Linked DNA regions of Drosophila melanogaster. The protein of the gene in region 2 interacts with the protein of the main gene of each other region in a pairwise test. Each region holds a gene or a part of one and is shown on either strand. Other genes may lie near its edges. The genes, in order: CG13031 and Rox8.

Region 1 (2,964 bases), on a different chromosome or scaffold from region 2:
CTACTGTTCCTCGCCTGGTTCCCGTGGCCACCAGCCATCAGTTTGTCACTCGAAACTGGAATCGAGTTTTCGTGCCCCCCGCCACGGTGGCCACTTATCCCAACACCTATGTTAAGTACAGCGGTGGCTATCCGGCGTATCCCGCCTACAATTACCCATACGCCACCACCTATCCGTACACCTATCCCTACTACTATCCCACTTATAACGTTGGATATGGTTACAAGGGTGTCTGGTGATCTGCAACGGACATAGCCTACCTTTAATACATTGTGATAACACTCGATACCAAATGATATTATATTATGATATATATGACAAATTTAATCAAAAACTTATTTCATATTAGATTCATACAACAAATTGTATAAAATATATATATATATATATAGAGAGACAATCTCGATATTATAAATAAATGTTTCTTTGTCCATTTATTGAACATGCTCATTCAATTCGATTATTTGTTATTAAGGAATATCACACCTGTATACACTGTACTTGGCACGTCGCCAAAAAAGCAACAGTTTAGCCATATACCGACTTAATAGTGACACAATGATTGTGGTTAACCAACTTGTACTTTTATTTTTGAATAACACGACAAAATAAGGAACAATTTCAATGCTTTCTAAAAGAAAAATGGTGCTGCCACTGCAGGAGCAAGGAAACGAGTTGGCTGAATGAGTCGGGCGCCAGTTGCAGGGAATGGAGCAGTAGCCAGGATGCGGGCAGGAGCAGTCGGAGCAAAGGCGGCATTAAACTGGTTAAAGTAGTCCAAGCGCTGGCTGCTGGATACGGCCAGGGGAGATGCACCCAAAGGATTAACCAAAGGAGCGCCAGCAAAGGGACCAGCAGCATAGGCGCCAGCAAAAGGTCCACCTGATCCTGGATAGAGTCCGAAAGTAGAGGCCGAAGGAAACAGTGCTGGATCCACAGCTGGCTTGGCTGCCACACTGGCCAGCAGTCCCAGGGATACGAGAATCAACTGAAAACAGAAAAGAGCCAAATCTTACAAAATCCTTGCCAAAGAATTTGCTTACCATTTGCTGCATTTCAAAAGAGATTGCTGCTGCCACAAGATCCAAAAACTGAATATGCATTGGCTTGGATCGACTCAAAGGTTTTATAGTTATTGTGGGCGTAGAAGACCACAGCTGGCCTGGCTAATTGGCGCTCCAAATTGTCAAACACTTGGCTCCAAAAGCGGCCTAAATGGCAGGTGCTGGCAGAGCAGCCAACCGCCACCCATTTGCATACGATCCGATATGGCTATATATGTTGGCTATGTATGTTGCCACACAAAATTCAGTAATCAAAAGTTTGGAAACGACTTGACTTGTCCAAATAAATGAAACCATTTGTAATATGCTTCTCACAGTTTAATTAATAGAACAAAATGACGGGACAAAAACCAATTTTTACATCCCCTACACAAAGGGACTTGACAATAACTATCGTATTCGTATAATTGCATTACATATATATGTATAAGAATAGGTTCGTATGTATAATTATCGTATATTATTTAGCTGTTTGGGAGTTACTTGATCGTTCAGTTTCAGTTGCTTGTTCAGTTACGTATAAATATATAGTTATGTATAATATATAGTCAAATCATAAAAACACATTGCCGTGGAATTAAACTAATTAGTCGTTAGTTAACTATGTAATCAAACAATCATACAAATTATGCTTGTAGTATGCAAAAACATAAACGTACCCTAGGAATATATGTGGTATTGTATGCTAGCACAATGGTTGCACTTTGGATAATTCGATATATATGGAATAGACGACATCTAGCATAGGCAATTAATTAGTTGCTTTCGATTTGCGGATCGATTGATGATTCGGGGCGGGGGCGTGAGTATTTCGTTATTTGACGAGTGGGGAGTAGCTTTAACAAACACTTGTTCTCGTTTAAGTTTTCTCTATGGCTTGCTTGGAATCGACTGCTGGATAAATCTATATATACAATCTGGCTTTGGAATAGGATCAGAGCTGTGTGATGTTTTGGCTTGGGCAGAACTGGGAGTAAGAGGGAACTCTACAGTCCTCGTTGGAGTGTTACGATATTGCAAGTTTAAATGGCGATTGAGTTGACTAGATATATGTGGCGAATTAAATATCGTATGGTTTCTTTATTTCTCTCTCTTCTCTAAGACTGCTCCTCATCTTCCCAATCCGCCAATCCTACCACAGCACATCATAATCGTACACATGCTCCGAGGACGCAATAATCAGACACTTTAGAAAGTCATCTAGGGTGCGCTTGAGTTTCCACTTTTTCGGCTTCCTCAGCAGCTGCTGCAGCGGCTTCGACTTGACCTTTGGCTCATGCCAGGGACTTGTAGATGTGGCGATGGATTTCTTCATCGGCTGATTCACTTGCTCCTGCAACTGCTGGACTGGCAAGTTGCAGTAAACATGGCGATTCAAGCTCTGTCGCAGGCTGTGCAGTCGCTGCTGCTGATAGTAGTGATTGAGATTGGCCAGAAATGAAAAGTCCGTGTCGTTGACCACATCGATCTCCGCATAGTTGTGGTTATCGATGTCCGGATCCGGTCGCTGCCCCGATGCCTTGGCAAACAGTTGGTCAAATCACATGTTTTCATCGAACTTTGCAAAGTTCGCGTCCTCGCTCCACTGAAATTTGCCGCCCTCAGTGTCATCATTGTGCTGATCCATGGCCTGTTCCTGGTCTGGTGATTTAAAGAACTCGTCATCCTCGAAGGGATCCTCCTGCTTTTTGGCAAATATGTTTACCGACTCGGATTTCTTGATGAGCTCCTGGCGCTGCTGCAGCTTGCTGGTTCGCATATTTTGCTTCCTGCTCATAGCACCAGATCCTCCGGCACCTGCTGTGGCAGAACCCGCTTGTTCCTTTTCAAAATCGAATGATGCCTTGGCGAAGTCATCCTCAAAGGCAGCATCATCGAATTGGGAGACCTTAACATTATC
Region 2 (7,981 bases):
ACTCCATGCTGGAAATCATGGACAGGGAACTGCGCATCGCTGAGGACGAGTGGGATGTGTACAAGGCTTATTTGGATGAACTAGAGCAACAGCGTGTAGCACCCAACGTTGAGGCCCTGGACAAGGAGCTCGACGAACTAAAGCGCAGCGAGCAACAGCTTCTGTCGGAGCTAAAAGAGCTCAAAAAGGAGGAACAATCGCTAAATGATGCCATTGCCGAGGAGGAACAGGAGCGAGAGGAGCTGCACGAGCAGGAGGAAAGCTACTGGCGCGAGTATACCAAGCACAGGCGTGAGCTAATGCTCACCGAGGATGACAAACGAAGTCTGGAGTGTCAGATCGCCTACTCGAAACAGCAGCTGGACAAACTGCGCGACACCAACATATTCAACATCACCTTTCACATCTGGCATGCCGGGCATTTCGGTACCATTAATAACTTTAGGCTGGGTCGATTGCCCTCTGTATCCGTGGACTGGTCAGAGATCAACGCCGCTTGGGGCCAGACGGTGCTTCTGCTCTCTGCGCTTGCTCGTAAGATAGGGCTCACCTTCGAGCGGTATCGTGTAGTACCCTTTGGAAATCATTCGTATGTTGAGGTGCTCGGCGAGAATCGAGAGCTCCCGCTTTATGGCAGCGGCGGATTTAAGTTTTTCTGGGACACCAAGTTTGATGCTGCCATGGTAGCTTTTCTCGACTGTCTTACCCAGTTCCAGAAGGAGGTCGAGAAGCGCGACACCGAGTTCCTGCTGCCCTACAAGATGGAGAAGGGCAAGATCATCGATCCCTCCACGGGAAATTCCTATTCTATTAAGTAGGTTTAGAAATGGTAAAGATTTTACCTATAATAATGATGGTTTCCTTACAGAATCCAGTTTAACTCGGAGGAGCAGTGGACCAAGGCACTGAAATTCATGCTAACCAACCTGAAATGGGGATTGGCCTGGGTTTCTTCACAGTTTGTGTCACCGTGATTTTTCTTTCTCTTTTAAATGTATATTTATAAATTACTTAATTATCCCCATAGTATTAAATCTAAATCTTTCAAATTTTAAATGAGAAGTATTTATATTGTTATGTTTATTTCAGGTAAATTTTGAAATAAGAACGTCTTTGGTACATACTTAATTCAAAAGTTATTTATCTAGTTTTGTATAGCTTTTTTCTGTGTTTTTGGCTCCTCCTCGCTGTCGTCAGAGTCAGAGTCGGATCCAGAGATGTCATCGTCTATCCAGAGTGTGCCCTTTTTCTTCTTTTTTGCCTTGGTCTTGTCTACGGCGGGGGATTTCCTCTTTGTGCCACTGGAAGTTGCTTCCTCGACGCCTTTCTCCTTGTTCTCCTCGGCCTGCTTGAGTCCCTCCTCGAAGGCGTCGTTTACCTTCTCGGTCAGATTAGCCCTGGCTTCCTCGTACTTATCGTCCTTAAAGTCGTGCTTGGGCACGGCCAGCAGTTTCTCGATTTTTCGCTTTTTACGCTCCTCGGCCTCCCGTTCCCGTTCGCCCTGCTTCTCCAGCCAGGCGCGCACCCGCTTCTCCTCGTTGATATCCCGCAAACGGCGACCACTTAGATCGCGGCAAGCCTCGCGATTGGTTGTCTTTTCAATTTGCGCACCAATGGCTCGAAGCATGGAACCAAATCCTCCTTTGCCACCGAGCTGGCGGAGAACGCAGTGAACATCTCCAGATGAAATTTCTCCCTCCAAGCGCTTGCCATTGCTGACTAAGTAGTATTCCCCTGGTTGCAGGTTCTGTAAAAAAAAGGGCCACATTGCAAAATCTTATGAAAATTATACATAACATACTCACTGTTTTCTCCGCAATCCGACTGTAAAGCTCATCACATTTAACGTGATCTCCACAAGAAATTATATATTTACTGTTTATAAAAATATTTATGCCCATTTCGACGACCTTTTCGATAACGATTGTTATTTCTAGTCTGCTTTGTGCTGCATTTGCGCCCGCGGTGAGTGTGTTAGAGAGAGAAAGCGGTGATGCAAGCGTTATCGCCTGCCCTAGGGTTGCCCCCTTTTCGATAACGTTGCTTCAAATAACTTAAAGTCGCGAATTAATGTGTGATCCTTGTCATATTATCGCTGAATTTCCATTAAATACCCCTACGTAAGTAATTTTATAAAAAAATCTTGTCAAGTCCATACTCTTTATTGCATTTCCCATCTTGCCGCCATTGCGTTTTTATTTCTCAGCAAGTTGGCAGCCCTGGCTCTCGCACACAAAATCTCATTAATTAGTTCGCATTTTAGACGACGAAGGTAAAATTTTAGCGACGCGTTCAACGTACATTTGCAGCCCCTAACAACTTTGAAAGTTTCGCAAAATTAATACAAACCGGTAGCGGCTAAACTTGACCGTCAAATGAAGTGTGCGAACAGAGTGCAGAGCAAGTAAAATGCGGTAAATTTACAAACGCAGCCACGTCACAGAGAGCGCATTAAAGAAAAAAGAAGAGAGTGCGAATTTTGACAGCGAAATTCGAGTCTGAACAATGGACATTAAGCGAATGCACTATAGTGCGGCGGGGACGATAATTGTTAAGCCCAGTTTTCGGCACCGCTGTCAGGCAGCAGGGTCGGGGCGGAGGCGTGGCGGTTGTTGGTGGCGGGGGAGCGGCATTAAAAGATGGCAGCACAAAAGCGAACAAGATACATACATATACGTACATATAGCGGCAAGCTGAAAAGGCAAATGAAAAGTCCCGCATTCAAATCGTCTTGGTATTGGTATATTGGCATTAGTTTAAATACACTCAATAGCCAAAAGCGGAAAAAAGCAAAAGCAAAAGAAAAGTGGAGACTCATGTGAGGAAAACGCAAACAAAAAGACCAGCGCAAGACGCCTCTCTCTGCGTGTGTGTGTGTGCGTGTCGGTGCTAATGTGTCAGTGTGTGTGCGAAAAAGAGACGAAGAAAATAAGCAGCAAATGAGCAACCAAAACCACCCCGCCATTCCCTTTTCGCCGTCTCTTCAGTTCTGTGACTTTGACTGACATTTTCTAGCGCCGCCGCCGCAGAAATAATCAAAATCAAGTTTAGTTCTATGCAAATTAAAATTTGATTTCGCAAAGTGTGAAGAAGAAGAACACGAATCTAATGCAACCGTGTGTGTCACCCGCCCGCCGGTTTCGCAAAATTTCCCACATCTTTCTCTTCCTTTTCCCTGTTTTTCTTTCTCCTCATTTTGTTATCGACGGTCATTCATCTTCTAGTCGATTTTCGTCGTTCTCCTTTCGCCCTCGTCTCGCTGGCGTGCCTGAGTGTGCATTTCTGTGTGCTGTGCGTGAGTGGCCCAAAAAAAAATTTGTAAATGTGAATACAGAAATATATTAATTATAAACTAAATCATTTTGCAAGGCCCGCAAATTTGTTGCGAATGAATGGCTATTGTCAATTGTTGGCCATTCGCTTTGTTATAAAGACAGGCAGTCTCTTTCCCCTGTCCTTTCCCACCCGCCTCTCTCGCTCCGAAGATAGCTCACTCACTCTCCCCGTGTTTTTCGTGTGCGCCAGTGTGTGTGAGCGTGCGTCTGTGTGTGCGTGTCCCTGCACTGCTTTGCCGCCTTCTTTGTTCCCATCATGCGAAAAGGGGGCGGGGCGGGGTAGTCGATTTATATCCATATCATTTGCGCCTGTTTTAAGGCCCACCGATCATGTGCCATTAGACCTTGTCCCACTCTTCCGGTTATCAGCGCAAAACTAACCCAAATTTACCTCTCTCTTTTACAGCAGCAACGATTCCAGGGGTCAGCTTCGAAACCCGAAAAGTACACTCAGCCTGCGAACTTTCACGCTGTTTAACTTAGCTAACTAATTTTTGTACAAGAGCAAGAATAAGTAGTCGCAACCAAGTATTCATATGTACATTTATACAATCCTGTATATTGGAACGGACAACTATTTATAATCACAACAACAACATCCGGATCATCGAAGAAGGATCGAGCAATTCTGAAATACCAAGTAGTGTACACCAAGAAACCCCGAATCCAAATCCCAGGCCCCCAGGAAAGGAAGTCAACCGATTATAGACATATATATTAGGCGACTAATCGTATATTCCAAAACACTCCATTAGCGTTTAGTTAGGACAGATATATTTATACGTATACATATAGATGTTTAACGAAATTTTCAATTAGGCGCCAGATTAGGAACAAAATAAAGCAATAAACGACGAACCTCAGCGTTAAGCAAATAGATCAACCTACCTAGATTGAGCATATAAAGTTTATATAATCCAAAAAAATCAAGCCAAGCCGAGAGTAAGTCGAAAGTAGTAGAAAATCAAAGTATTCAAATCTCTCTTGGAGTTTCCTGTTAGCAGCTAGCACCAATTAGATTGCCGCAAATACACCTGTTTAATTAGCAGACACTTTAGATTTTGTACGTAGCTAGGAACTTAATCTGCAAATTTTTGATACATCCCCTTCCGATTAATGCGGCCAGGTGCAGTAGTTGCAATTCCGGTTTTAGTGTAGAGTCAGTAGATTGTCGCTGTAGCCTAGTGTATAATCAGATCAAAAAAGCCACAGTCCCGTGACATCCGACAGCCATGGACGAGTCGCAACCGAAGACCCTATACGTGGGCAACCTGGATAGCTCAGTGTCCGAGGACCTGCTAATTGCCCTCTTCAGCACCATGGGGCCCGTCAAAAGCTGCAAAATCATTCGGGAACCGGGCAACGATCCATATGCCTTCATCGAATATTCCAACTACCAGGCAGCCACAACAGCTCTGACCGCCATGAATAAACGCCTATTCCTCGAAAAGGAAATCAAGGTAAGCTGATTAGCTTCTCTTAAGTTATCAAGTGGACAGCGGTCATTTTCATTCATTTTGTTCGAAACTACACTCTTGCAACACACACATTCCCCACGACCAAGCCCTCATGTTATTTTAATTATGTAGAACTTAATTGATTATTACCTATTAAACGAATGCTCTTCGCAGGTCAACTGGGCCACCAGTCCCGGCAATCAGCCGAAGACAGACATCAGTTCGCACCACCACATATTCGTGGGCGACCTCAGTCCCGAGATTGAGACAGAAACACTGCGCGAGGCTTTCGCCCCATTCGGAGAGATCTCCAACTGTCGCATTGTGCGCGACCCTCACACCATGAAGTCAAAGGGTTACGCCTTCGTGTCGTTTGTGAAAAAGGCGGAGGCAGAGAACGCCATCCAGGCGATGAACGGCCAGTGGATTGGCTCGCGCTCGATACGCACCAACTGGTCCACGCGCAAGCTGCCACCACCACGCGAGCCTTCCAAGGGCGGAGGCCAGGGAGGCGGAATGGGTGGCGGACCGGGCAATGGGTCCGGTGTAAAGGGAAGTCAACGCCACACCTTCGAGGAAGTGTATAACCAGTCGAGCCCCACCAACACCACCGTATACTGTGGCGGATTCCCGCCGAATGTCATCAGTGACGACCTGATGCACAAGCACTTCGTCCAGTTTGGTCCCATCCAGGACGTGCGGGTCTTCAAGGACAAGGGCTTCTCGTTCATCAAGTTTGTTACCAAGGAGGCAGCCGCCCACGCCATCGAGCACACGCACAACAGCGAGGTACATGGAAACCTGGTAAAGTGCTTCTGGGGCAAAGAGAACGGAGGCGATAACTCGGCCAATAACCTCAATGCCGCCGCTGCCGCGGCAGCAGCCTCTGCCAATGTTGCCGCCGTTGCGGCAGCCAATGCTGCGGTTGCCGCTGGAGCGGGTATGCCCGGTCAGATGATGACGCAGCAACAGATCGCCGCCGCAACAGGAGCGGCGATACCCGGCCAAATGATGACACCCCAGCAGATTGCGGCGCAGTATCCATACGCGTACCAGCAGATGGGCTACTGGTATCCACCTGCGGTAAGTGTTGTATTCTTTAAATACGCAGTGACCTAAAGATTGACCCTAACTTTGTGCTTTTCTGCAGACTTATCCCACAACCCAGATGCAGACGCAATACATGCAGCAGGGCTACTATCCCTACGCCTACCCTACCAGTGCTCAGCAAGCGGGAGGAGTCCGTAAGTTTACTTTTCTCAGTTGCTGAATAATCGTGACCTTGGCTTAAACAGCTTGCATACAATTTTCAGCGGCTGGATACCGCATGGTGCCGCCGAATGTAGCATGGGGCGTGCCCGGAACTGTGGTGCCCGGTGTGACGGCTGCCGCAGCATCCGCGGCCGCTGCAGCGAACGGATCACTTGCCCCCCAAATGATGTACAGTGCTGCGATGCCACAATACCAGACCCAATGAGCTGAGATGTGACGCCAGCTTCGACGCCGTTTGCAGCATCCGGGAAGTCGCCCCCAGCCGCAGCCACAACCACCTCTGCTGCATCAGCTTCCGCACCTGCAGCAGTTGCAAGCGCATTACGCACGTTTAGGTTACGTACAATACCGAGTAGTAGCAAAGTCGGAGCCGCTCCTGGCCATGCCGTTGACCAGCGGCAGCAGCCACATTGACGGTGGCAATGTATCTGGAGATTATTAAGGATGCGCGAGTGTCCACTTTGAAGTTGTGGCTACGGTTGCGGCTGACTGCGGTGGAAGGAAGCGGAATCGGGTGTGGTATATAGCCCCCCAAAGTCGAACGTTAAGGCGGTGCGTGGAGCTCAACTTCAAGTGATCCACGCCGGCGACAACTGAAAGAACATCAATTGAAAAGCTCCGGGCGATGGGCGGGTAGCTGTAACAATCTAATCCAATCTAAGTACGTGTTAAATTAATTTAATGATTTCTAATTTAAGCAGATATAGGCGTATAAACGAAACGGAAATAAAATAAACCGAATGAGAAATTCAACAAAAACAAACAAATAAAAACTGAAAAGAGAAAATGCTAATTACGCGCGACAGAGTTAAAACAAAAAGAAAACAATCGAAACAAAAACGTGACAAAGCAAATTGTAATTGTAACTATGTGGAACATGTGTCAACGAAAACTGAAGACGGAAAGAGGGTAGTTTCAGTGGGATGAAAGGATAGCCGCAAGCAAGCAAGCCGAATGCAAAAACAAGAGGAAAAACAAATTTAGTCACTAAGAGAATGTAAATTCGAGCATACATATTGTATATTTCCAATGTGGAAAACGAAATGCGATATAAATATGTAAAATGTAAAATAAAGAAGCAAAAAAATATATAAAACAAGTGAGAAAACGAAGGGACGCTGGTTTTTATATTGAGGTAATGAATTAGGATGTGGAATTATTATTTCAAACTTTAATTTATATCATTGATGATAGAAGTGGTTACTACTACTACAAATCTGGTGGAGGATTCAGCGGAGTCTAAAATATAGTTAAAAAGTAATTAACTTTTACAATTGTGCTAAAAAGTTTTCTTAAGGTATAACATACATACATGAATGAATTTTATAGCTTTAATATTCTCTAGTGAGACGCAGTTTTTCTGCGAAACTAGTTTTCATGAATGCTTAATTCTTCTGCTTACTTTCTCTTAATTTAAATGCACCTGGTGATGTCAGCCGTTGCTCAATTCTCAATACACTACCAATGGTTTCCAATAGCTTAGAATTTTGTTGATGATTAAGAATGCAATTGATGTTTCTTGAAATCGATTTTATTTAGCGTATTCTATAGATTTCTTTATATATATAGTTTTATATGCATGTAGTTTTTTTTTGTATCTGTGTTTAGTAACTAGTCAAAGAACTCAAATTCCGGGTGGGCGAGCTGCGTTGAAGCTGGTTCAATGTGTCGCGATAAGCGACGGGCATGTGCGCGGGTGAAGATGTATCTGATCGATCTGATAACACCAGATCCATACGCACCTGCTAGGTACAACATTTTTGGGTGTGTTACTAATAATATAGGTGAATCGGAGACGATTGTATTTATGGCTGTAGGTACATAGATTGAAACAAAGGAACTAAACTAGACTAACCATACGGACAGTGATAACTATTAAAACTTAAATACGATTCTGCGCTGGTAAATGTATCTTTG

The links.
Region 1: the proteins of Rox8 (region 2) and CG13031 interact in a two-hybrid assay, tested with the Drosophila melanogaster proteins (one large-scale study listed by BioGRID).

The regions. Positions count from the first base shown.
Region 1 is NT_037436.4:16,722,982-16,725,945, reverse strand, and holds CG13031 (uncharacterized protein), read right to left. Parts: upstream 1,086-2,964; 5' UTR 1,056-1,085; coding exon 1,044-1,055; exon of another isoform or gene 989-1,043; coding exon 632-988; 3' UTR 571-631; downstream 1-570. Other genes in the region: CG13026 (uncharacterized protein), read left to right, coding at 1-239; Dab (disabled), read right to left, coding at 2,605-2,964.
Region 2 is NT_033777.3:24,042,252-24,050,232, reverse strand, and holds Rox8 (Rox8), read left to right. Parts: upstream 1-1,967; 5' UTR 1,968-2,120; exon of another isoform or gene 2,121-2,443; intron 2,444-2,511; exon of another isoform or gene 2,512-2,734; intron 2,735-2,864; exon of another isoform or gene 2,865-3,045; intron 3,046-3,220; exon of another isoform or gene 3,221-3,295; intron 3,296-3,741; 5' UTR 3,742-4,567; coding exon 4,568-4,795; intron 4,796-4,966; coding exon 4,967-5,875; intron 5,876-5,942; coding exon 5,943-6,036; intron 6,037-6,087; coding exon 6,088-6,269; 3' UTR 6,270-7,177; downstream 7,178-7,981. Other genes in the region: Atg6 (Autophagy-related 6), read left to right, coding at 1-814, 869-974; CG5986 (uncharacterized protein), read right to left, coding at 1,145-1,747, 1,806-1,901.